4 linked regions of the Saccharomyces cerevisiae S288C genome follow. The protein of the gene in region 4 interacts with the protein of the main gene of each other region in a biochemical or structural test. Each region holds a gene or a part of one and is shown on either strand. Other genes may lie near its edges. The genes, in order: SAE3, RAD54, RDH54 and DMC1.

The links.
Region 1: the proteins of DMC1 (region 4) and SAE3 form a complex in vitro, tested with the Saccharomyces cerevisiae proteins (2 studies listed by BioGRID).
Region 2: the proteins of DMC1 (region 4) and RAD54 form a complex in vitro, tested with the Saccharomyces cerevisiae proteins (4 studies listed by BioGRID).
Region 3: the proteins of DMC1 (region 4) and RDH54 form a complex in vitro, tested with the Saccharomyces cerevisiae proteins (3 studies listed by BioGRID).

Annotation. Positions count from the first base shown.
Region 1 is NC_001140.6:260,703-265,295, forward strand, and holds SAE3 (Sae3p), read right to left. Parts: upstream 1,852-4,593; coding exon 1,739-1,851; intron 1,653-1,738; coding exon 1,490-1,652; downstream 1-1,489. Other genes in the region: bifunctional endoribonuclease/protein kinase IRE1, read right to left, coding at 1-889; LAM4 (Lam4p), read right to left, coding at 2,099-4,593. UniProt on the Saccharomyces cerevisiae protein: Involved in meiotic DNA-break repair. Required for the recruitment of DCM1 to meiosis recombination hot spots.
Region 2 is NC_001139.9:192,628-199,586, forward strand, and holds RAD54 (DNA-dependent ATPase RAD54), read right to left. Parts: upstream 3,777-6,959; coding exon 1,080-3,776; downstream 1-1,079. Other genes in the region: YRB30 (Yrb30p), read right to left, coding at 1-673; SUT1 (Sut1p), read left to right, coding at 5,511-6,410; YIP5 (Yip5p), read right to left, coding at 6,583-6,959. UniProt on the Saccharomyces cerevisiae protein: Plays an essential role in homologous recombination (HR) which is a major pathway for repairing DNA double-strand breaks (DSBs), single-stranded DNA (ssDNA) gaps, and stalled or collapsed replication forks.
Region 3 is NC_001134.8:380,403-387,500, forward strand, and holds RDH54 (DNA-dependent ATPase RDH54), read left to right. Parts: upstream 1-2,709; coding exon 2,710-5,586; downstream 5,587-7,098. Other genes in the region: YBR071W (uncharacterized protein), read left to right, coding at 9-644; chaperone protein HSP26, read left to right, coding at 1,628-2,272; YBR072C-A (uncharacterized protein), read right to left, coding at 2,458-2,619; PFF1 (Pff1p), read left to right, coding at 5,884-7,098. UniProt on the Saccharomyces cerevisiae protein: Involved in the recombinational repair of double-strand breaks (DSB) in DNA during mitosis and meiosis. Has DNA dependent ATPase activity. Promotes D-loop (displacement loop) formation with RAD51 recombinase.
Region 4 is NC_001137.3:546,478-551,902, reverse strand, and holds DMC1 (recombinase DMC1), read right to left. Parts: upstream 3,483-5,425; coding exon 3,351-3,482; intron 3,259-3,350; coding exon 2,386-3,258; downstream 1-2,385. Other genes in the region: YER181C (uncharacterized protein), read left to right, coding at 107-430; SLO1 (Slo1p), read left to right, coding at 781-1,038; ISC10 (Isc10p), read left to right, coding at 1,376-2,179; PDA1 (pyruvate dehydrogenase (acetyl-transferring) subunit E1 alpha), read right to left, coding at 3,824-5,086. UniProt on the Saccharomyces cerevisiae protein: Required for meiotic recombination, synaptonemal complex formation and cell cycle progression. Recruited to meiosis recombination hotspots by MEI5 and SAE3.

The sequences.
Region 1 (4,593 bases), on a different chromosome or scaffold from region 4:
AGCTTGCTCCATCATAAGAGTGAATTCCCAGCTCAAAAATAGTTTTGCCTATTACAATCATATTTTCACATTCCTGAAGTTTTATCTTCTCCTCAGGTGAGCAATCCACACTCTGGCTCCCGAAATACCCGTTTTTTGAACCAGGTCCGAACGCTGATATAATTTCACCATTCAACATGTTTATAGTATACATTATAGTTCTCATCGATCCAGTGTAGACCTTTTCATCTTCAACAATTTTTCCAGAGTCATTAACCACAATATTTGTTTTCAAGTGCAGCGGGGAAGTTGATACAAGTTGTCGTATGGATAAAGGCAGTTTTTGTAACCCTTGATGGGCGTTAAAGTAGTAAATGTTCCCATCACCGAAAGGTTCTATAATCAACGTTTCATATGTTTCTAACCTCGAAGGTTCTTGTATTTCTATCAGAGGTTGAAAATTTTCTGGTTCGATTGACCATATGATATGACCATTTCTTCTATCTACAGCATGAAGTCCACCCTCAACGTCGGCTGCGATTAGTATATCTGATAAACTCAGTTCGTTCAAGGAACGATTCTCCAAATAGGGTACACTTATAGAATTGGCAGCCCTACGTCCTTTTTTGTTAGCACGTCGATTATCAGCAGTATTCAATAAGTTAGGAGTTGGATATGAGCTGAGTTTCATATTTGGTAAACCTTCAGTGGTTCTTGGAGCAGGAATGGGCGAGTTTATATTTTTATCCACACCATAGTTGAAATTGAGCTTTTTAGTGGAGGCAACTTCATCTTCCACTATCTGCCGCCTTGAGGTGCGAGACGACAATGGGATTGAGCATGAAATGATGGATGAAAACACACAAACGAGCAGTGTCAATACTAACATGTTTCTTCGAAGTAGACGCATTTTTCAAAGTGCTAAAATATTAATTCCTCAGATATGCTGTTTTTTTAATGTGTATGAAGGGTGATATGGAGAAAAGTGATAATGGACGTGGGGAAGAGGAAAACGATGCTTTGTGAATGAGAAAAAAAAGTTACTTAGCAGATTACCGATTATTAACAGTGCCAGTTATAGTGTAGATTTAATTGTGTAAAATTAATATTGTTATAGACTTTTCACTGTTAGTTTATGTGAAGTTGGCTCATTGATCTCCTATGATATGTTTTTCGTTTATTTCTTGTTACTATGTGATTAATCTCTTTTTTTAAATTTTATTGTTGGAATAGTCGAAGGTATTGCCCGAAGAGGCTTACGCTCCGTCTTGATTTTCGGCAATAAAATAGCGAAAACCTATTATATAACAGAGGGTAATAAAACCTCAAAACTACAACTATCAATATATTTCACACTACGCAGCTTAATTAGTAACTGTATAATAGCATTTAAGTTCATTACTTCTTTGTAATTTTATCTTTTTTTTTTTTTATATAGTTTTCAGCGCGCAGCAGAGTTTCATTGGAACGCTTCGCACGTTGGAAGAATAGAACTGTCCCTAAAAGCCCATTAGTCCTTCATTGAATAACCGATCTCTTCAAAAACATCCTTAATTTTGCATTGCTTTTCATCAGCAATTATTTGGGCCAACCTTAAACCGGCATCTCTCAATTCGTTGTACTCCTTTAACTCTTTAATGTACGTCGAGGAAATTTTTTTTGGTGTCTCATCACTTTGACAAGTTCTGTTAATAACAGAAACTAAATATTTTTTGTTTGTTATACCGATTTTTGCCGACTGGAAAAAATAGCTACATACTTTTTCTTTTCTTTAGACAATTGCTCAAACATCTTTATCAGGTTGCCATTCATACTTTCGTATTCCTGTATCTGTTTTTGCTTTTTATTTAACTGTGTTTCCAAATAGTTCATACTTGCAAGTTGTCTTCTGTTTATGGCAAGGATAAGACCATTGCTTTTAATTTAAAATTATTCTTATACTCTGTCTTTGCATTTATGAAGCAGAAATAGAATAGCCGCCATTAGGCAGAACAATTCCGTCTGATGTGATAATGCAAAGTGTGCCTGTCATCTAACTTAAAAGGAATCAGGCCAACCGCTACAGGATATGTACTAGATACAATTACTAAATAATACAAACAGAATATATAAAATGCTATTAAGATAGATCATTTGCGTCCCTCTCAATGTTGTCCAACATAGTTTTCATATGATTTAGTTGCATTTCTGTTATTTTGATACTTTCTGATAATTGCTGCAATTTGTGTTCGTCATCGTTTCTCAACATAGCACGACCTCGAGGTGATATTGCACTCCCTCTGTTACTGATCCAATCCCAAATATCGCTTTCCCTTCCTACAATAGGACTCTTATCCCTTGCGTAATTTACATTTTCTCTCTTCTTCTTAGATGATATGGCGTTTTCATATGAGTTATACAGTGTGCCGAAACTGGGCACGTAATTATATTCTTGACCATCAATCAGCAGCCTTCCTGGCTTGATGATTTGAAGATTATTTTTTTCTTGAAACACGTGAAGCCGAGGAGACCAGAAAAGCATAATGGTCAACCCCAAGATCAAGAATAGTTTTTGAGGACTCAGCAATTTGTTCATAAAAATTTCTGAACTAAAATTATTCTGAACGAAATCCAAAATATGAGTTAAAATGTCTTTATTATCATCGCTCTTACGGCTTTCGGAACTTTTCTGTTCAACCTTACTATGGAAAGGCCTATGTTTATCATGACTCTTCATTACTTTCTTCACCGGTTTTTTGCTTTTTGCCCTGCTAATAATGTCTCTTAACTCGGATAGCATGTAATCGACAGAAACCTTCTGACCCTCAACAGATCCTTTCTCAATTGCACCTTTCAAAAATGATTTACTTGTCCAGTTGATTTTTGTTATAACGGTCATATTCGTGGTGTCATGCTGCCCCCAGAATAGAAAGATTTTACTTTCTACTGCAAAATTGCTACCAGAGGGGACGTCTGGAGTTTTAGTTGTTTGTGTCACCAAAACATAGTTATTGATATCCATGTGTTCAATAGACTCGGTTAGTAAACATTTTGTTTGCTTAGGTCCGATAGAATTGTTCAATTTCTTCGTGTACTCATAGTGTCTTGAACCTCCTTCAACCAACGAAGGCGTGAATTTTGGTATCGTTTCCACATTGACATTATTCTTATCTCTAGTGATAACTTTCTGCATATACTCTGTATTCGATCCAAATAGCAATTGGACCACGGTCCCTAATGGAGCTGGTATATTCTCATTTTCCCTTATAATAGAGTCATCCTTATCCTTTTGAATATCAGGCTCGGTAGGTGCATGTGAGCTAGGTTCCATTTTCGGTAAAGTTGATACTGTAACAGTGTTCTCCTTCGAAGACCTTTTCCTTTTGGTAGCAGATCTTGTTAAAATATTACCAAGCTCCTCCACCAATATCTTTGTTGCATCCGTTACACCATCAAATGTACCCTTTTCAATAGGACTTTTGATCAAGCTTTTACCTGTCCATTCAACAGAGACATACAGTTTTAGTTTTGTTTCATTGTTGTTTGCCCATGATAAAAGATAAACTGTTCTCACATAAAATGAATTTCCAGAAGGAACATCCGGAGTTTTTGTTGTTTGCAAGACTTGAACATACTCCTCTAAGTTAAAGTGTTGAATGGTTTCAGTTATCATGCATTTAGTTTTACCGGGTCCAATGGCACCTGGTGTTGTTTTTACGTAGGAATAATCTCTCTTTTTACCTTCAGAAACCGTGGGTGAATCAACGAGAACAGGGATTGGCGAAATATCACTATTCTTTTGCGCTTTTAAAATGGCCATAATATAACTGACATCTTTCCCGAATAATATATTGACAACCCGCCCTAACGAAGCGTGTATTGTTGATTCGTTAACTAATTTTTCATTGGGCGCTGGTTTGTATACTGTTTCTGTGGGTGAGTGAATTTTTGGACCTAGTGGTGGAATTCCTGTTCCATAAGGGGTGTCTGTTTGTAGAGGCATGGGTAAATCTTCCGGCTTTCCTATGCTGACGCTTGATGTCATGTCGGTAGAATCAGATATGTTATTGCTATTATCGTAAAGATCGTCATCATCATCTCCATAATCATCGTAATCATCATCGTAATCGTCATTTTCATCATCACTGATAGAATTGGAGCTGCTATTAGTGTTATTACTGTTGCTACGAAACCTCTTTCCCAAAATTATTTGATTCCATACTTCAGTAATTAAATCATATGTAGCATCTCTTGAAGTGAAAGAGGCAAACGTGTATTTTGTGTGTAAAGTGTCTATAACGATCCCATTAGGGAATATTCCTGCTGTGGCCCTTTTCTCTATTTGAACGATTGTCTTGAACGGTATAAAAACGGTACTTACCCAACCAAGGATGTTCGAATAAAATCCAATATGTTGATCAGAAATATACATTCTGCCTTGCAAAAGGATATCTCTTGACAAAGCACAACTATGGTCTAAAATCAACCTTTCATTGGGGCTGACACCAGAGTCCTTGAATATTGCATGGAATTCTGCATCTTTCTTTTCGCTCGCGTATTCGACTCCCTTTATTCTAATGCTGGATTGTCTACCATTTTCCTCCGATGGCTCAATGATATTTACGGGGGTAGATG
Region 2 (6,959 bases), on a different chromosome or scaffold from region 4:
TTCCTGATTGCCCATTGTTTTCTGAAGTTAGGTTATAGAAAATAGAGAATAGTGTAACCTCAAATGTAGGCCCCACTTGAACTTTTAGAATCTCCTTGTCACCTGTTCCTTTCTCATTACTCTTCATTGCCTTTTCATACTTTCTATTGTTCTCGCTAACGAAATCGGAGGCTTTTAATAATAAACCAGGAGAAAGTTGATATGGGAGTGCGCTGTTCAAGTTGGCACCAGAAGTGGTTAAAGAAAGATTAATGAATGGAGTGATTTCTTCGATCCTCAATAGCAAGTCCTTTATATAGTTTTCTACCGCTTTAATAGCTTCATTCTGTGTTTTTGCGCTCCTGGAACCCTCAACTTTCTGCGTCATTTCGTTGATCTTCTCATCAAACCTATCAATCTCTTCTTTTAAATCCTTGGTTAACCTCAGAGTGATTTGCAAATTCGTGTTTCCCCTCGCCGCTACCAGCTTTATTAGGTCAATTGCACTGGATACAATAGCCATGCGGCTTTCCAGTTTAAATTTCAGTTGATCTATTCTTCTAGCATCATCCTTAGGAATCTGGACGACAAAGTTCGTTATTGTCTTTAGCGCATATGTGGATGCTATCGATATTCCGGATTTTATAGCAAATGTAACGGCTTGTGAACCTGCTTTGGCAAGAATTTCATCCATTCTCTTCAGATATTGGTGTTAGGTAATAGTTAAAGTTAATCCTTCTGAGAGTGTGAAACTGTATCAGATTTTTATTTCCCTGACAGCGTGAGATTTTCTTGCCATAATCTTTTTTGGCAGTTTCGGCTGGCACTTTACCACGATAAAACTGAAGATAATGAAAAATTTAAAAGCTAGCACAAGTATAATATGACATCGCTCAACTTTTTTTACCCTTAAGTTATACGATTATACTTTTTTGATTGAAATACATAGAGATATTTACCAATTTGGCCCCAATTTTCAATTGTTTATTACGTCTAAATATATATAACCATGCCCATCATTTAAAATAAATATGTAATGACCCCCCGACGATCGAATTCTACTTTTTGTTTTTGTTTTATAAGTACATGTATGTAAGAGATCAATGTGAAATATATTGAAATGCAAAACTGATATCATTGTAATGATGCTCGTTTTTTAGTAGATGATCATTTGTTTTTTCCAATGCGTCATGGTTCAAATGATTCCAAGTTGTCGCATCACCATATAACATTGCAGGGGCTCTCTTTAATTGTTTACCCTGAGCATTACAACGTTTACAATGGTATGTTTCGTGTGTTTCACATATCGTATTCTCATTTTTTTGAAACAACTGTCTTAAATTGTCAGAACTAAACAACCTTTCAACGTCTTCTTTCGCATCGACCACGCATGAACTCAAACTCATTTTCATAGATTGTCTTTGAAAGATTTTTTCCTCTATGGTACCAGTCGATATGAATCTGTAAATGAAACAATCCTTTTTTTGACCGTCTCTCCAAACACGTGCCAAAGCTTGTTGATCAGCAGCAGGATTCCAATCCGGATCCATCAAAATTAATCGATTTGCACCAATCAAATTGATACCACACCCACCTGCTTTAGAACTTAAGAGGAAGATGAACTCTTGGCCTTCAGGATCGTTGAACCTATCCACCAATTTTTGTCTTTTGTTAATTGACATTGTACCATCCAACCGTACAGCACTGTAGTGCTTATATCTACACATTTTTTCAATGAGGTCCAAGGTTTGGGTATAGTTGGAGATCAAAACAATCTTATCATCGGATTCGGTCTTTATCTTATGGAGAAATCTTTCCAAAATGGAAAATTTAGCTGAATATTTTGTTTGTACGTCCCTGGCTTTTGAACCCGGCATATTATAATCGTCAGGTAGTTCCAAATCATCTTCATCGTCAAATTCATCTTCAAAATTCAAGAGATTAGGGTGATTACATAGCTTCTTTAAAATACCAATAGCCCTCAGGGGCTGAGACCCACCAACACCTTTTACTACTTTTTTCACTTCTCTTGACTTAATTAATTTATTGTAGAGCTCGTTCTGCAACGGCTTCAAGTTTACGAAAATAACGTGCTCATACTTGCAAGGCAAATATTTGGCCAAAATATCGTTAGTACGACGGATAATAAATTTGGAGACAATGGTAGATAGCTTCTGTAATTGCGCCTCGCCCTTTGTGATTTCTTTATCAGTAGCATCAGCATCACGCCCTCGCAAAATTGGATTCTCAAAATTTTTCCTAAATTCTGCTCTGGAACCTAATAAGCCAGGATTCGAAAAACTCAGTAGAGCAAAATATTCGGAAAGATCGTTTTGAATGGGTGTACCAGATAATATAACTCTTCTAGGACAACTGATGCTATCCAAAGCTGTGAATGTTAAAGAGTCACCGTTTTTCAAACGGTGCCCTTCATCTGCCAGCATTAAACCCACATTGCAGTTTTTCAATTGATCAACATTTCGACGTAATGTTTCATACGATATGATTAAAACGGGCTTAACAATATTTCTTCCCTGTGCCTGAGCCCAGGCATGAATAGCTTGCGAAACTGTTGTATTACCACCACCCATTGAAGATTTTTTCCCATCAACCGCTAACGGAGTTAGAGTATTGGGACCCAACCATTTTATCAATTCATTAGCCCAGTTGTTGACTAAAGAAGATGGACAAACAATGATACATTTGTCGATAAGTCTTTTACCCTGCGGGCCCTGTCTTAATAATGTCCACATAAGTGCTATACACTGCAATGTCTTACCCAGCCCCATTTCATCGGCCATGATGCAGCCGTAGGCCCCTCTATTGTTTTGTTCAGTCTTTTGAGATTCAGTAAGTGCCTTCTCGTCGCTCTTTAAGGGATCTTCGCTTGAAGTGTTGAACGCCTCAGCTTCTAAGTAATCTTTCATGACAAGCCCTGTGACACAACGGTATAAGAATCTCACCCCTTCGACTTGATGGGGTCTTAAAATCTTGGCCAGTTTTGGATCAATAACCACAGGGACACTAGCAAATTTCTTCTTGTTTTCCGCAGAGTTTTCCGAATCACCGAGTAGCTCACGTAACGGTTTGTTTCTCACACCATTTGTCATCAAAGCTGGATGGCGTCCTATTCTTTGTGTGGGTCTTTCTTCCTGGCTATTCTTTTCCTTGTTAATATTATCCTTTTCCTGTGTGCTTTTGATCATTTTCTTTGATTCTTCTTCCTTGTTATCCATAGATGTGTCATGGACAATCATTTCACCGTCAACGGACGGGTCATAAAGCACTATGGCAAATTCGTCTGTAGGGTCATGTAGAGGTCGAGGTTCTGGAGTAATTTTTTTTTTCATTCCTAACGTTAATGGCAGACTGTGTCTTTGTACATATCCCTTGATTGGCACAGTGAAAGATCTTCTCAAAGTGTACTGGATATGACTCAGTCTTGTCGGATCCTTGGCCAACCTTTGAGCACTAAGAGCATCCTTCCGTCGTTTAGTCAACTGAGAAAAACTTATGTCTTGGCTGTTGTACTCTGCTTCGTCCGCATTTATATCCAAGCCGGAATAACATACAGTCGCTGATCTTTTCCTCAAGCTCCTTCCTCCTACGATATTATCAGACCCGGTGGCGATTCTACCAGCAGCGGGCGGGATGTGCGTGTTCTTGTACGGGACCCTGAACGGTTTCGTTAGTCGGTTCACCGAGTCTTGTACGTTAATAGGCCTAGGTACCAGTCTCGGCCGTTCACCGGCTCCTATTCCATTTGGTGGTCTGTCTGGTAATCTGCGTCTTGCCATCAGTTATAAGGAAATATATATGGTACCTTGAAATAGAGCTAAGTTCTGAGCGTTTGATTTTTCTATACTTTCGTAGCAGCTTTAGTGAAGAAAGAGAAAAGTTGCTGCTCTAGATTTTGTATCGGCTATTACGTCAAGTGAGAAGAGTTTTGGCCTTCGCTTCAGTTAGATCTTCTATTATTTCCTTTTTTTTCTTTTTGTTTGTAATTGTTTTTTATTTTTTTTTTTGCGCGAAACTTTGCTATATTGGGTAACGCGTAAAATACTTTTTATTATTGCAGTAAGGCGGAAGGGTCTTCCCCTTTGCATGTTAAATAGCATACATGGCACCACTCAGGTCCAGAACGTGACACATCTTTGCACCACTTGTGTATTTTCAAGATGTTAAATTTTTGATACATAAGCTTTATCATGCAGGTGCAGTAGACGCATTTGCGTACGCGTTGAGTAGTAATGCAAGAACGCAACAATTTCACGCTTTCTACTTAAGAGGACAGATCTTCGAGCAGAATATTTTTCTCCTAGCGCGGCTTTCAGAATCTTCTTACCATCTGCAGGACATCACATGCAAGCACATGAAGCTGGAACCACGCACCATTAAATGTAAACCTACAGACATAGCTAGCACAGAAATGCTACTTTGGAAACCTCGGTTGCATCGGCTGACCTCGGCTGTTCAGCAACGTGAGCTGGTTGTTGTTATTGTTCATAGAATCCTGTATTTTACCAGTGTAGCTTTGTCCGCCCACCCCACGCTTTTGGCCACTAGTATGTACGTATATGCGTGGGCTCTATATCATTGAAAACGAATTTTCCACGCAAAACCCACTTCACACCATAAAGGCCTTATGACGATGTACATTCTTCCCCTCCCCCCTCCTCCCGAAGGAACCCTTATAGTGATCCTAATACGGTATAACGTAAACCGGAGTTGTCAGCAGAGAGAAGCGAATAATATGTTTTGCGTGGGGTTCCCACGAGCGGCAGGAACCGTAGCGCATTGAAAAATGAATCATCGATCATCTTTGGGTTTCAAGGGTTCGGACTTCGCCAAAGGTCCGAATACTTCCACCAGTATTTCTCTTTTTCCCTTTCCAGTCTCGTTCTTCGCCGAATCCCCGCTTTCCCATCATGATCGTTTCTCTGTTTCTCTCTTTCCGGAACAGGCTCTTTTCTGACCGCCAGTTCGTGCGGTTAGTTCTGTGGATCTTGCAGGCACTTGCCGGTTTAGCCACACTTCTCCGCTGTTTGTGTCGAATTTCCCTCGAGTATGAGAAAGACTGGACCACAAAAGAGGGAAAAAAAATGGGCCGATTTTAAACCATTATAGGTCACAGAAAAACTTTCTTACGACGGTGGTTTTTCAACAATACGTTTCTTGAGCAGGAGAGGAGCTTTGTTCTTTTGCCTTAGTTTTTTTTGTCTTTTTTTGTGAGCCATCCTGCTGTCGTTGCCATACATGACAGATCCACATTTGCCTTGTTGTTTTTAGTTTTTGTTCCTTGCACCATATAAAAGCGTCACTTGTATTTTCCTTACTCATCTAAACTTCAAGCTTTTTCGTCATAGTAGGTTTGTGATCTCGGCAAAGAAAAAAAATTTTTTTGCCGATCTTTCTGGTTATTGTTTCAGGTATCTTTATGAAAGTATTAGTGTACGCACTGGATTTTTGGTAGGTCTATAAAAGTGCAACACATAATCTAAATCATTGAGGTCATCGTATGTCAAAAGAAGATGTCCACAAGCATTACAGTAAGAAATAGAGATCGATCGCTACCACCGCTATTGCTCCCCAATGTTTCCCTGCTAGAAAAAGATATACGGCGTAAAGGCACCCAAAATGTGGGCATCACCGATCCAGAACTCTTGTCGACCACTTGGACGAGGAAGCGGGCTTTTCCGACTGACGAGCTTTTAGGAGGCTATAAGAGATTAAAGCCTGCTGCCGCTGACAGTAATGAGTGCGCTATTGGTATTGCCACGGTGACGCCGCCGCCAACGCTCCCCGTAAGTGCGATTGTTCCCCCTCCACAAAATTACACTCCACCATTGTTTGAGTATCATCCTCATGCTCTTGCTTCCATGGTCAATGAAGACGCTAATGCGTCATGCACTCAAATGTCTATAATTTCGCGCTCAACGAGCAACTCGACAACCTCCTCTGCCACATCTACTAGTTCAATTTCCAAGAGACAAAGAAGTGGCCCAAGTTGTGACAAATGTCGTTTGAAAAAAATAAAATGTAATGCGAAAATTGAGATTTTGCTTCAAGACGATACTATAATGCCAATGATCTCGAACAAGTTGCGGTACGTCTTGACTCCTGACGATATTCGGCTATATCGAGGCACGCTGTTGCGGAATATTGCCATACCGGATGATGTCATTGAGGGTACAGGCTCACGCAAGTTGATTAAGCATATTGATAAGTTGGTTTTGCTCACACCTTGTTTACCATGCATTAAGAAAAAGCATTCTTCTTCTTCCACTAATTTCCCAAAAAATGATAAATGTACTTTTTCAAAAGGCTTTACCAGAGCTGACATAAACATTTCATCCAAAATCTCCTTAAAATTTAAGGATAAAACCATTTACGACATAACCTATGATGACTATAAAAGCATTGATTTTTAGACAAAGGCATCTCTAATGAATAGCATCACAAAACTTGCATTTAGCATTAACATATATGGATATATATGTACACACAGAAAACGTATAAACACTCATGTATAACCCTACATAATAAGAGTATACAATGATACTAGTCATAAAAAGTATTGTGTGTATAGACGTGCGCATATTTTCAAAATATTATAAACCTGAACAATAGACAGAATAAAGTATGCAGCGCAACGACAACGATGATGGACAGCGAAAATTTCCCGTTCGATTGTGTCTCCGTATTATTATTACTCGATATTTGAGAATTCAAGAAATAAGACGACTGTGCCCACCCAAGAGCCACAATTGCCCATTGAATTGCTTGAACAGTCCTCAGGCGCTTGGACATATCCAATATATTCAATATAACACAAACGGGTATCCAGATCAAGTTAGCGTACCCGTAAACGGAAATCAATTCAGGAACACTTTTGAAGCTTCTATTGCGCTCCGAGTGCTCATCTCTATTCAATACTTGCATGGTAATAAATGGTACGCCGAACGTGTACCCGTAAAATA
Region 3 (7,098 bases), on a different chromosome or scaffold from region 4:
TACGTAAAATGCTAAGACGCTCTAAAAATTCCAGCACTAACACAAACGCAGACACCAAGAAAAGACAATCCATGCATTTAGGATCCAAAAGTTCGCTAATCTCGCTGACTAGCGAATTTGGCCATGGACACTCCAAGACGAAGCAGAAAAAGGAGGAGGGCACAGCTCCTTCTCAATTCCTGTCTCCTACGAATAAGAGAAGCACATCTAGTCAGTCAAAGTTAAAAAGGAGCAGCTTGTTACTGGACGAAACACTGCTTAAAGACTACCACTCGGCCATGAGGCACATGCAAACAAACGCTGCAAAGGAAGAAAAGCTGCGGATGGCTCCATCACCAACGCAGTCAACGAGGAGCGAATCAGACGCCAGTCTTTCCTCCACCAAGAGCTCGATCTCTTCCATATTTTCCCAAGATAATGACTATTCCATTCACGATTTGTTGTACGAAGATATTGAAGAGATGGATAAAACAGACGCTTTCAAAATTAACAACACAATAGCAATCGATGATTCTAAAGCTCTCTTTGTCTTCTGTTCAAACGACTCCTCCTCAAGGACAGCGTCTATCGAAACATTGCACGAATCAAATTTGGACAACCTGGATATGGGTTCCAGTAGAAGGACATCGTTGGACTTTTTTTAATATAACCTACCATAGGACACACTTTGTTGTTGATGTTGGACAATTCGTTAATTAAGAGTCCCTAAACGGCTCTACTAGTTCCAACCTCACTTTGTTTTTTCATTTTTTTATGTTTTTTCTAGAACCTTCTTTACGTGATTCTCGCTCGGAATCCGTCAATAGAATGTTTTCAGTCTCCGTTTCAATATTCTGCGCACATCAATCATTTTCTTACTACATACACTAACATTACTCCTAGTTTAATTTAATTGAATTTTTAACTTTCTTTTCTTTTCATTTGGCAATTTGGCTCCTTGAAAACAAGACTATGGGTCTCTCTCATAAGCCTCAGGGGGGGACCCCAAAAAAATAACGCGGCCATCTTGCATGCACCGTTGAACCTGTAGCTTACAGTAAGCCACAATTCTCTTACCTTCTTGGCAATGTGGCACAAAATAATCTGGTTATGTGTCTTCATTTGGTAATCACTGGGATGTTACTGGGGCAGCAGCAACTCCGTGTGTACCCCTAACTCCGTGTGTACCCCTAAAGAACCTTGCCTGTCAAGGTGCATTGTTGGATCGGAATAGTAACCGTCTTTACATGAACATCCACAACCAACGAAAGTGCTTTTTCAAGCATTGCTTGATTTCTAGAAAGATCGATGGTTATTCCCTCCCCCTTATGCGTCCAAAAATATAGGGTGCTCGTAACAGTAAGGTATTCGCACTTAGCGTGCTCGCAACACAAAATTAAGTAATATGCGAGTTTTAGATGTCCTTGCGGATCTATGCACGTTCTTGAGTGGTATTTCATAACAACGGTTCTTTTTCACCCTTATTCCTAAACATATAAATAGGACCTCCATTAGTTAGAGATCTGTTTTTAATCCATTCACCTTTCATTCTACTCTCTTATACTAATAAAACCACCGATAAAGATATATCAGATCTCTATTAAAACAGGTATCCAAAAAAGCAAACAAACAAACTAAACAAATTAACATGTCATTTAACAGTCCATTTTTTGATTTCTTTGACAACATCAACAACGAAGTTGATGCCTTTAACAGATTGCTGGGTGAAGGCGGCTTAAGAGGCTACGCACCAAGACGTCAGTTAGCAAACACACCCGCAAAGGATTCTACTGGCAAGGAAGTTGCTAGACCAAATAACTATGCTGGCGCTCTTTATGATCCCAGAGATGAAACCTTAGATGATTGGTTCGACAATGACTTGTCCCTGTTCCCATCTGGTTTCGGTTTCCCTAGAAGTGTCGCAGTTCCAGTTGATATTTTGGACCATGACAACAACTACGAGTTGAAAGTCGTGGTTCCTGGTGTCAAAAGCAAGAAGGACATTGATATTGAGTACCATCAAAACAAGAACCAAATTTTGGTTTCTGGTGAAATTCCATCTACCTTGAATGAAGAGAGTAAAGACAAGGTCAAGGTCAAGGAGAGCAGCTCTGGTAAGTTCAAGAGAGTCATCACTTTGCCAGACTACCCAGGTGTGGATGCAGACAACATTAAAGCAGACTACGCAAATGGTGTTTTGACATTAACAGTTCCAAAATTGAAGCCTCAGAAGGATGGTAAGAACCACGTCAAGAAGATTGAGGTTTCTTCTCAAGAATCGTGGGGTAACTAAAGTGACCTGGCTCTATAGTGTTGTCCCTCTCGCGAGGACCATTGTTGCTTGCATATGGGCTTGAAACATATGGTCATCACATCTGAGCGATTTTACCTCTTAGAATTAGTTTAGATATATATGAGTTGATGAATAAATAGTTATAAAAACTTGCTTTGGCTTCGATATATGACCGTTATTTTTGACTAAGTTTTAACGAAGGAATCTAACCTCGTTCTTGTAATTACCAAAATCTTCAACAACGCGCTGTTGGAGGTATCTCTATGGATGTGGCTTGAAATATGGATGTCTTGCCTACTTCTACTTCTGGGAAAGGCATTTTTACTCGATCGCGTTAATATATGCATCAAGAAAATAAAAAATAAAACGCGAAGAGCTAAAAAAAAAAAAGAAAACCTACTATAAATAACCGATTAGAATCGAGTTTTTGTATTGAAATGGCGGTAATAAGCGTTAAACCTCGACGAAGAGAGAAGATCCTACAGGAGGTAAAAAACAGCTCGGTATATCAAACGGTATTTGATTCCGGTACTACTCAAATGCAGATACCGAAATATGAGAACAAGCCATTCAAGCCTCCAAGAAGGGTTGGATCAAATAAGTACACACAACTCAAACCAACCGCCACTGCAGTCACAACAGCCCCTATATCTAAAGCCAAAGTTACTGTCAACTTGAAAAGAAGCATTTCGGCGGGACCTACTTTAAATCTTGCCAAGAAGCCGAATAATCTGTCCTCAAATGAAAACACTAGATATTTTACTATCATGTACAGGAAGCCTACTACCAAAAAGCACAAGACTTGGAGTGGTGATGGCTACGCTACCTTAAAAGCCAGTAGCGATAAGTTATGCTTTTATAACGAAGCAGGGAAATTTCTTGGGTCAAGTATGCTACCAAGTGATTCAGATTCTCTCTTCGAAACTCTTTTCAAAGCAGGCTCCAATGAAGTACAATTGGATTACGAATTGAAGGAAAATGCAGAAATACGTAGCGCCAAAGAAGCCTTATCACAAAACATGGGAAATCCCAGCCCACCGACCACAAGCACAACAGAAACAGTGCCTTCTACGAAGAATGACGGTGGCAAATACCAAATGCCTCTGTCTCAGCTGTTTTCACTAAACACTGTGAAAAGATTCAAATCAGTAACAAAGCAAACAAATGAACACATGACCACAGTACCTAAAACCAGTCAAAATTCCAAAGCCAAAAAATATTATCCAGTATTTGATGTCAACAAAATCGATAATCCTATAGTAATGAACAAAAATGCAGCCGCTGAAGTTGACGTAATTGTTGATCCATTACTGGGCAAATTCTTGCGCCCTCATCAGAGGGAAGGGGTGAAGTTCATGTATGATTGCTTAATGGGCTTGGCAAGACCAACTATTGAAAATCCGGATATCGATTGTACTACTAAAAGTTTAGTGTTAGAAAATGACTCAGATATTAGTGGATGCCTTTTGGCTGATGATATGGGTTTAGGTAAAACACTAATGAGTATAACTTTGATTTGGACATTAATTAGGCAAACTCCTTTTGCATCAAAAGTTTCATGTTCGCAATCAGGCATACCATTAACTGGACTTTGTAAGAAGATTTTAGTCGTTTGTCCCGTTACTTTAATAGGAAATTGGAAAAGAGAATTTGGAAAATGGTTAAATTTGTCAAGAATAGGTGTTTTGACATTAAGCTCAAGGAATTCTCCTGATATGGATAAAATGGCTGTCAGAAATTTTTTAAAAGTGCAACGAACTTATCAAGTCTTGATTATTGGCTACGAAAAACTCTTGAGTGTTTCTGAAGAATTAGAGAAAAATAAACATTTGATTGACATGCTGGTGTGTGACGAAGGCCATCGACTAAAAAACGGGGCTTCTAAAATTTTAAATACGCTGAAGAGTTTAGACATAAGAAGGAAGCTTTTGCTTACGGGAACTCCTATACAAAATGATCTTAATGAGTTTTTCACTATTATAGATTTCATAAACCCAGGAATCCTTGGAAGCTTCGCTTCTTTCAAAAGAAGATTCATTATCCCTATAACTAGAGCCAGAGACACTGCAAACAGATACAACGAAGAATTGTTGGAAAAGGGGGAAGAAAGGTCAAAAGAGATGATAGAAATTACGAAAAGATTTATTTTGAGACGAACAAATGCGATTTTAGAAAAGTACCTTCCTCCAAAGACGGATATAATTTTATTCTGTAAACCATACAGCCAACAGATATTGGCATTCAAAGATATTTTGCAGGGCGCACGTTTAGATTTTGGACAATTGACGTTCAGTTCTTCGCTAGGACTAATAACATTACTGAAAAAGGTTTGTAACTCTCCTGGATTGGTTGGCTCAGATCCCTATTACAAATCACATATAAAGGATACCCAATCTCAGGACAGCTATAGTCGTTCTTTGAACTCTGGTAAGTTAAAGGTATTAATGACATTACTAGAAGGTATTAGGAAGGGTACCAAGGAGAAGGTCGTCGTAGTGTCTAACTACACTCAAACATTGGATATAATTGAAAATTTGATGAATATGGCTGGGATGTCACATTGCAGACTCGACGGTTCCATACCTGCTAAACAAAGGGACTCTATCGTCACATCTTTCAATCGGAATCCAGCCATATTTGGATTCTTGTTGAGTGCAAAATCGGGAGGTGTAGGATTGAATCTAGTCGGTGCTTCGCGACTTATTTTATTTGATAATGATTGGAATCCTTCAGTAGATTTGCAAGCGATGTCACGAATTCATAGAGATGGTCAAAAAAAGCCGTGCTTCATATATAGACTTGTCACAACTGGGTGTATCGATGAGAAAATATTGCAAAGGCAATTAATGAAGAACAGTTTGAGCCAAAAATTTCTAGGTGACTCGGAGATGAGAAATAAAGAATCTTCTAATGATGATCTTTTCAATAAAGAGGACTTGAAGGACCTGTTTTCTGTCCATACAGATACCAAGAGTAACACACATGACTTAATTTGTTCTTGCGATGGTTTAGGTGAGGAAATTGAATATCCTGAAACAAATCAACAGCAGAACACCGTAGAGCTGAGAAAGCGTAGCACTACGACATGGACAAGTGCGCTGGATTTACAAAAGAAAATGAATGAAGCAGCCACCAACGATGATGCCAAAAAGTCACAATACATTAGGCAATGTCTCGTTCATTATAAGCATATCGATCCAGCAAGACAAGATGAATTATTTGATGAGGTTATCACAGATTCGTTCACCGAATTGAAAGATAGTATTACCTTTGCGTTTGTAAAGCCCGGCGAGATATGTCTCAGAGAACAATGACGCCAAATATGGACACTTATATACTAAATAAAATAGCTATTATTTAATCACTGATTGTATTTAATAGGTTTATTCTTGCACGACTCATTCAGGTTCAAGTCACATATTAAGTAGGGCCTATTGCTGATTCAAGTTGATATCCACGTTTTCACTAATTTGATAACGATACGCTGCGGGCGCAAATCAAACATCTGAAAGATTTGAATAGCCTTTAGTCCCAAAAAAAAAAAAAAAAAAATAATGTGAAAAATTATCTACAAGGAAATAAATTGATAGGTAAAGTTAAAGAATCACGGCATGAAATTAAAAAGTGTATTCAGATCAGTTCTAAAGTACCGGAAAACAAATTTGAGTTTGCTTCTATTAATCACCTATTCGATTATTACGTTACTCTATATCTTTGATCATGAACGTTATAAACTCAATCTACCAAAAGAGGATGAGCACCCTGAATTCAATGACTTATTAGAAACAGCATGGGGGGACTTACAGATTATCACGGCCTCTTTTCATCCGTACACGTCCAAAGAAAATGATAAAGTACATGATTACTTGCTCAAAAGGGTTCTTGAAATTACAGGGAATTCTTCGTTTGCAAGTGTTTCAGATGACAAAGAAAGCGAGAGATCCATATTATTTCAGCAACAAGATCCTTTCAATGAGTCATCTAGGTTTTCGAGAGTGACATATTTTGAATCTTCTAATATATTAGTTAAGCTTGAGGGTAAAAATCCTGAGGAAGAAGGGTTACTTCTTTCAGCTCATTTCGACTCTGTACCCACAGGATATGGAGCTACCGATGACGGCATGGGTGTAGTGTCTTTACTAGCGAACCTCAAGTACCATATAAAGCACAGACCGAACAGGACTTTAATTTTCAACTTTAATAATAATGAAGAGTTTGGCCTACTAGGTGCATCAACTTATTTTGATCACTCATGGTCTAATTTAACCAAGTATGTGATAAATTTAGAGGGAACTGGTGCTGGTGGTAAAGCTGTACTGTTCCGAACTTCAGATACTTCAACAGCAAGAATATACCAACAGTCTGTTAAGGAAAATCCATTTGGTAACTCTATCTACCAGCAAGGTTTTTATAGCAGATATGTCAGGAGTGAGACAGACTACAAGATTTACGAAGAAAATGGCATGAGAGGCTGGGATGTCGCATTCTACAAACCGAGAAACCTTTATCATACCATAAAGGATTCAATACAATATACCTCCAAGGCATCTTTATGGCATATGCTACATACTTCCTTACAATTAAGTGCATATGTGGCTTCTAATTCATTGGATACAGCTGACCAAACGCCGGCTTGTTATTTTGATTTTATCGGTTTGAAGTTTTTCGTTATAAGCGCTAAAACGCTTTTCTATTGGAACTGCATATTTCTATTAGTTTCACCCGTTGTGGCCATTGGCTTGTATTTAATTTCTCGTGATAGAATGACTTGGAAATCTTATTCATGGCTATCGTGGACACGCTTTCCTCTTTCATTAGCCGCTGGT
Region 4 (5,425 bases):
GTGACAACGCAAGAAACAAAAACAAATGCAATCTCAATATTATGTGAAATTGATGATTTCGTAGCGAATCATGCGCACTGTGGGAGAAGCCTGGGTATAATTATGTATGCTAATACTGTTACGTTTATCTGAGGTTTGTGTGAATTTTGTGATAATTATCGGGATTCCATTGTTGATAGAGGCTTCAATACTATGTATACAGAACATACTAGAACTTCTCCTCAAGGGTATAGGGATCCTCAAATTTAATCGGTATTTGCATACAATAATATTACGATTATTTTTCCTATCGTTTTATATGCTTCATTTTCCCATTACATTATCAATTCTTGCATTTCAGCTTCCATTAAACTTGCTAACTCTTTCTCAAGCTTCATTTCATCTTCCTAGATCTCATATGATACTATACCAGCAGCAAGAATGCTACTAAATGGATGATATTCTAGAGTTTCATTTCATCATCTACACGAAGGGATGGGGGCATCTGAAGTATTTGAAACGTTGCTATGATTTCATAATTTATGCAGGTTTAACACAGATTACAGGTCTCTTGGCCCAGTTGGTTAAGGCACCGTGCTAATAACGCGGGGATCAGCGGTTCGATCCCGCTAGAGACCAATTTTTTTGAAAATCGTAAAAAGGCCCAAAAGGGAGAGCACAGCACGTTCTGCTTAAAAAAATAAAAAATGATGTCTTCAATAAAACATCTTAAGGACCAGTTTGTAGATCTGCGAAGTTGTTGACTAGATAAATTATAATAGCAAACAAACAAATAGGACAATGTCAGCGGAGAACATTAGTACTGGCTCGCCGACGGGCAAGCAGCCATCCTCTGAAGTTAATCTTGGCGAAAGAGAAGCTGGAACAAAAAATGAGAGGATGATGCGCCAAACCAAACTTCTGAAGGATACATTAGACTTGTTGTGGAATAAAACCTTAGAGCAGCAAGAGGTGTGTGAGCAACTAAAGCAAGAAAATGATTATCTAGAAGATTACATTGGCAATTTGATGAGATCCAGTAATGTGTTGGAAAAATAACTTTTCAACGTAGGTTTCTGTTTTAAATAGGTAGATCAGTCAAACGGATGCGTCGCATAAATGGCTGATAAATTTTTCCACTACTCGTTTTCTCTTTTTCTGAGTTTCTATATTTTGCGCCTGTTTTACAAAGAAACCAGTATGGTTTGATCCCATGGGCGATGCCACAAAGAAGCTATAGAGAAAAAATGTTAAAATATTCGAAAAAGCTTCGAAAGATTTTATTGCGGTCACTCATGATCATAAAAAAAACCCTTCTCGCATTTGTAACATTGTATTTTAGTTTCTACTTCTTGTAGCAGGCCCTGAAGTATAGATTCTCAGACACAGTGACAAAATGGATGTCGATGAGAGGTTGCATCAAGATGAAAATCAAACCCACCCTTTTTCGCAAAAGAAGTCAAGCAGTTTCTTGATAAAGGAAAAAGCTGCTACAAAATCCAAGGATCTTGAACATATAAGGCTTCGTGACCTAAATTTCAATCATAGAAAAAAGCTAGATGACAAAAAATTGGCAAAGCAAATCCCAGTTAAGGCAAATTTCAAGAAGCCTAACGAAATTGAAGCTCGCGCTAACCTAAATTCAAATGAATTAACAGATATCAACCTTGACTATATACCGGATTCCCCATCTATAGAGAAAATATCAGGGCCTGAGGATTCTATTGTTGTAACGCCAAGAAATATCATACATTTACAATCTGATTCAGATATTATTCTCGAGGAATGCGAGCATAATTATGACTGTAGCCCTTTTTACCGTCTGTTCAACTACGAAAATAGAATTGAGCCCGATGACTACGAGGCTATTATAAACGCTATAATAACTGACGAAATTGCTGGCACATATCCGGTTTTCGAACGGGAATTAGAGTACCAAGAACTGAAAAGTCTTGTCAGAAAGCGAGATTATATTATGTATTATTTCTTGTCAAGGGATTATCGGGGGTTTTTTCAGTTGAAAGAGGAACGTACTTTATTTTATAGGTACCCTTCAATTGCGTACACTAGCCCGTTGAGGTATCTGGATAATGGATCTGAAACCGAGCAGTTTACCGGGGATGATGATGAGGAGCTCCAATCATTTGATTTTGAAAACACATCATCTGTGAGGACTTTAGATAGTAATATATGGCGTTAGGTAATGCTCAATTTTATATACGCATATGCACCATAGTAATTTAATATTTTTTTTCCGAATTACAACAATTATATTATAATATTCCTTTCTTTTGGAGCTGCTAAAACAAAGAATCATAACAAGATATTAATAATATTAGTAACACAAAGTAAAAGAAAAGTTTAATAAAGGAGCAATGTCATCTTCATTAAAAAAGTATACAAAAACTAGTCACTTGAATCGGTAATACCTTTTTCACCAATTACGTAGACACATTCTTTTTCAGGCATATCTGGGGAATCTTGTAACTTGGCAACTCTTTCGTCACCACGCCCTTTTCTCAACAAAATCCTTGTTGCTGACGCATGTGCCAGAACGTGCCCTCCAATTGGTTTCCTACCATCTGCCGAGGCAAATAATGCAGAAGCACCTGGGTCTGATTGAACTTGGTTTGTCAGAAATACTGCAACATTAAATTCCTCTGCCAATCTATTCAATTTGAAAAGATGTTGATTTAGCTTTTGCTGTCTTTCGCTTAGTTCACCTCTACCGCAGTAGTCTACTCTGAAGTTTGCCATTATAGAATCTACCACGATAAGGCGATAATCTCCAGAACTAAGTTCTTCACCCAATTGTTCAACAAGTTCCATTTGATGTTCACTATTCAAGGCTCTAGCATATGAAACGTTTGCCAAACATGACTCGGGATCCAATTCATAACCTTCTGCAATTTGCTTAATCCTCTCGGGCCTGAAAGTGCCTTCTGTATCAATATATGCTACTTTCCCTTCACCACCACCCATTTCCCTCGGAAGCTGCGTGGTAACACACAAAGTATGAGACATCTGTGTCTTACCACACCTAAATTCACCAAATACTTCAGTGATACTCATTGTCATTATTCCACCACCTAGGATTGAATCTAGTTGCTTAGATCCAGTTGATAAGGAGTACACACGCTGTCTTATATCTAATTGTACAGTAGCGGGGATAAATCCCACCTGTATGATTTTTCCAGCAGCTTCTTTAATTTTTTCCACTTTCACCTCACTTAACCCTTTAATTTTACATAGATGTCTTCTTGTTGTTGACAAAACGGTCTATAAAAGTTCCTTTCCAAATTATTAGTTAGTAAAAGAAAGGGGGAAAGAACCTCTACAGCAGAGGTTTTAAAAATGTTATTATAACATACATTGACTGTGTATATCCCACCAGACTTCAATTTTTGAAGATCTGAGGCATTAATACCATAGTTCTGTAATTCATCTACACTAAGAATATTTTTTGCTGTATCACTATCGATCTCAGTTCCTGTAACAGACATATTTGTTCAAATGCTTTCCTGATTGGCATAACAGACTACAGCAAATATAAAAGGGTGAAAGTAAATCTGGAAAAGTAGAATCCAAATTTTTTGGGTCAACTACCCTTCCCTTTATATAAAAGTTTATCCTTGGGCGGCTATTTTCCGGTCTGTTAATAACTATCTCTCCACACAATGTGTGGGGAAAACCCGAAGAAAAACAACAAGGCATAAAAAAGAGCTATATTGTTGATATACAGTTAAAATATACTTGACTTACATTTCTTGCTATAAAATGGCGCTTCCAGGGAAGAATATCATGCGATCACAGCACTATTATTTTATTTTTCCTTACGATTTAATTAATCCCTAGAGGCAAAACCTTGCTTTTTGAAGTCCCAAGTATCTTCAGGGATCCTACCTCTTAGGGTTGGAGTTTCTGTACCTTTCACGTAGACGTCTTCAAACAAGATGGATAATTTGGCTTCTGGAGGAGGAGCAGCATCAGCTAATTCAACTTGTTCGTCAACGTATTTTCTAGCGGACTTGTCGTAAGCTTTGACTTCAGCTTCAGTGGCAATACCTAGATCAATCAAATGCATCTTAAGACCAGCAATTGGATCGTTCTTGGATCTCATATGCTGAATCTCGTCTCTAGTTCTGTAGGTAGTACCGGGATCAGACATAGAATGGCCACCGTACCTATAGGTTTCATATTCTAGAACGAGAGGACCTTTGCCGGATAGACACCAGTCCTTAGCAAACTTGGATGCTTGGTAGACAGCTAGAATATCCATACCGTTAACTTTTAAACCTGGAATATATTGACCACGCTTGAAATATTCAGTCATCGCGGAGGATCTTGAAGCGGCGGTACCCATACCGTACTTGTTGTTCTCACAGCAAAACACGACGGGCAAATTCCATAATTTGGCCATGTTGAAAGATTCAAAAACTTGACCTTGATTAGAGGCACCATCACCATACAAAGTGAAAGAGCAGGCGTCCTCGTTCTTGTATTGGTGAGCAAAAGCTAAACCTGCACCTAAAGGAACCTGGGCACCCACGATACCATTACCACCATAGAAGCCTGGAGCGTAAAGGTGCATGGAACCACCCTTACCATAAGAGACACCGGCTCTTCTACCCATCAATTCAGCCAGAACGGCTTTCACTGAGGCACCTCTCATAAAAGTGAAACCGTGACATCTGTAAGATGTGATGATGGAATCCAATTTTGTGATGGCATTCTCGATACCGACAGCAATGGCCTCCTGACCAACAGATAGATGGCAAAAACCTCTGATTTTCTTGGCCTTGTACAAGGCGTCACAAGCCATCTCCATTCTTCTGATGATGACCATATCTTTATACATCTGTAACAAGGTGGCTTTCGAAGTCTCATAAGACAAGTCTGGAGGCTCTAGCATATACGACTCGAAGGAAGATTCAGGCAACTCAATTTGCACTGTGTCCGAGCCCTCGATGTCCTCAGGGGCCTTCTTATCAGTTGTTTTTAAAGTTGCCATGGTACGAACATGACCTATCCTGGTGGGAGTGCGAAGAACAGCTCCTAACCCGCGGACCAATTGTGATGGTTGGCGTTTGAATGAAGCAGCAAGCATTGGCACAAATGTGGTTTCCTTTCTTATTGCTGTATCCAACTTTTGTGAAGATACAGGTGCGACAAACATAAAAAAGTTCTTGCCGTTAAGAAGCTAAAGTTGCTTCTCGCTATACCAGAGGGGATTATTGTCGGGAGTCATGATGCGACATTTACCCGGTTGAGTAAGGAAGGGGTGGAGGAATCAGAAGAGAGATAAATAAACATACACGTCAAAACAGTATAGTTCAAGTAACACATATAGACATGTACACGCGCGATTACGTGTGTACATGCACATGTTAATGTTATATACATATATAGATATAGATATATAATTGCAATAATGAACTACAAATTA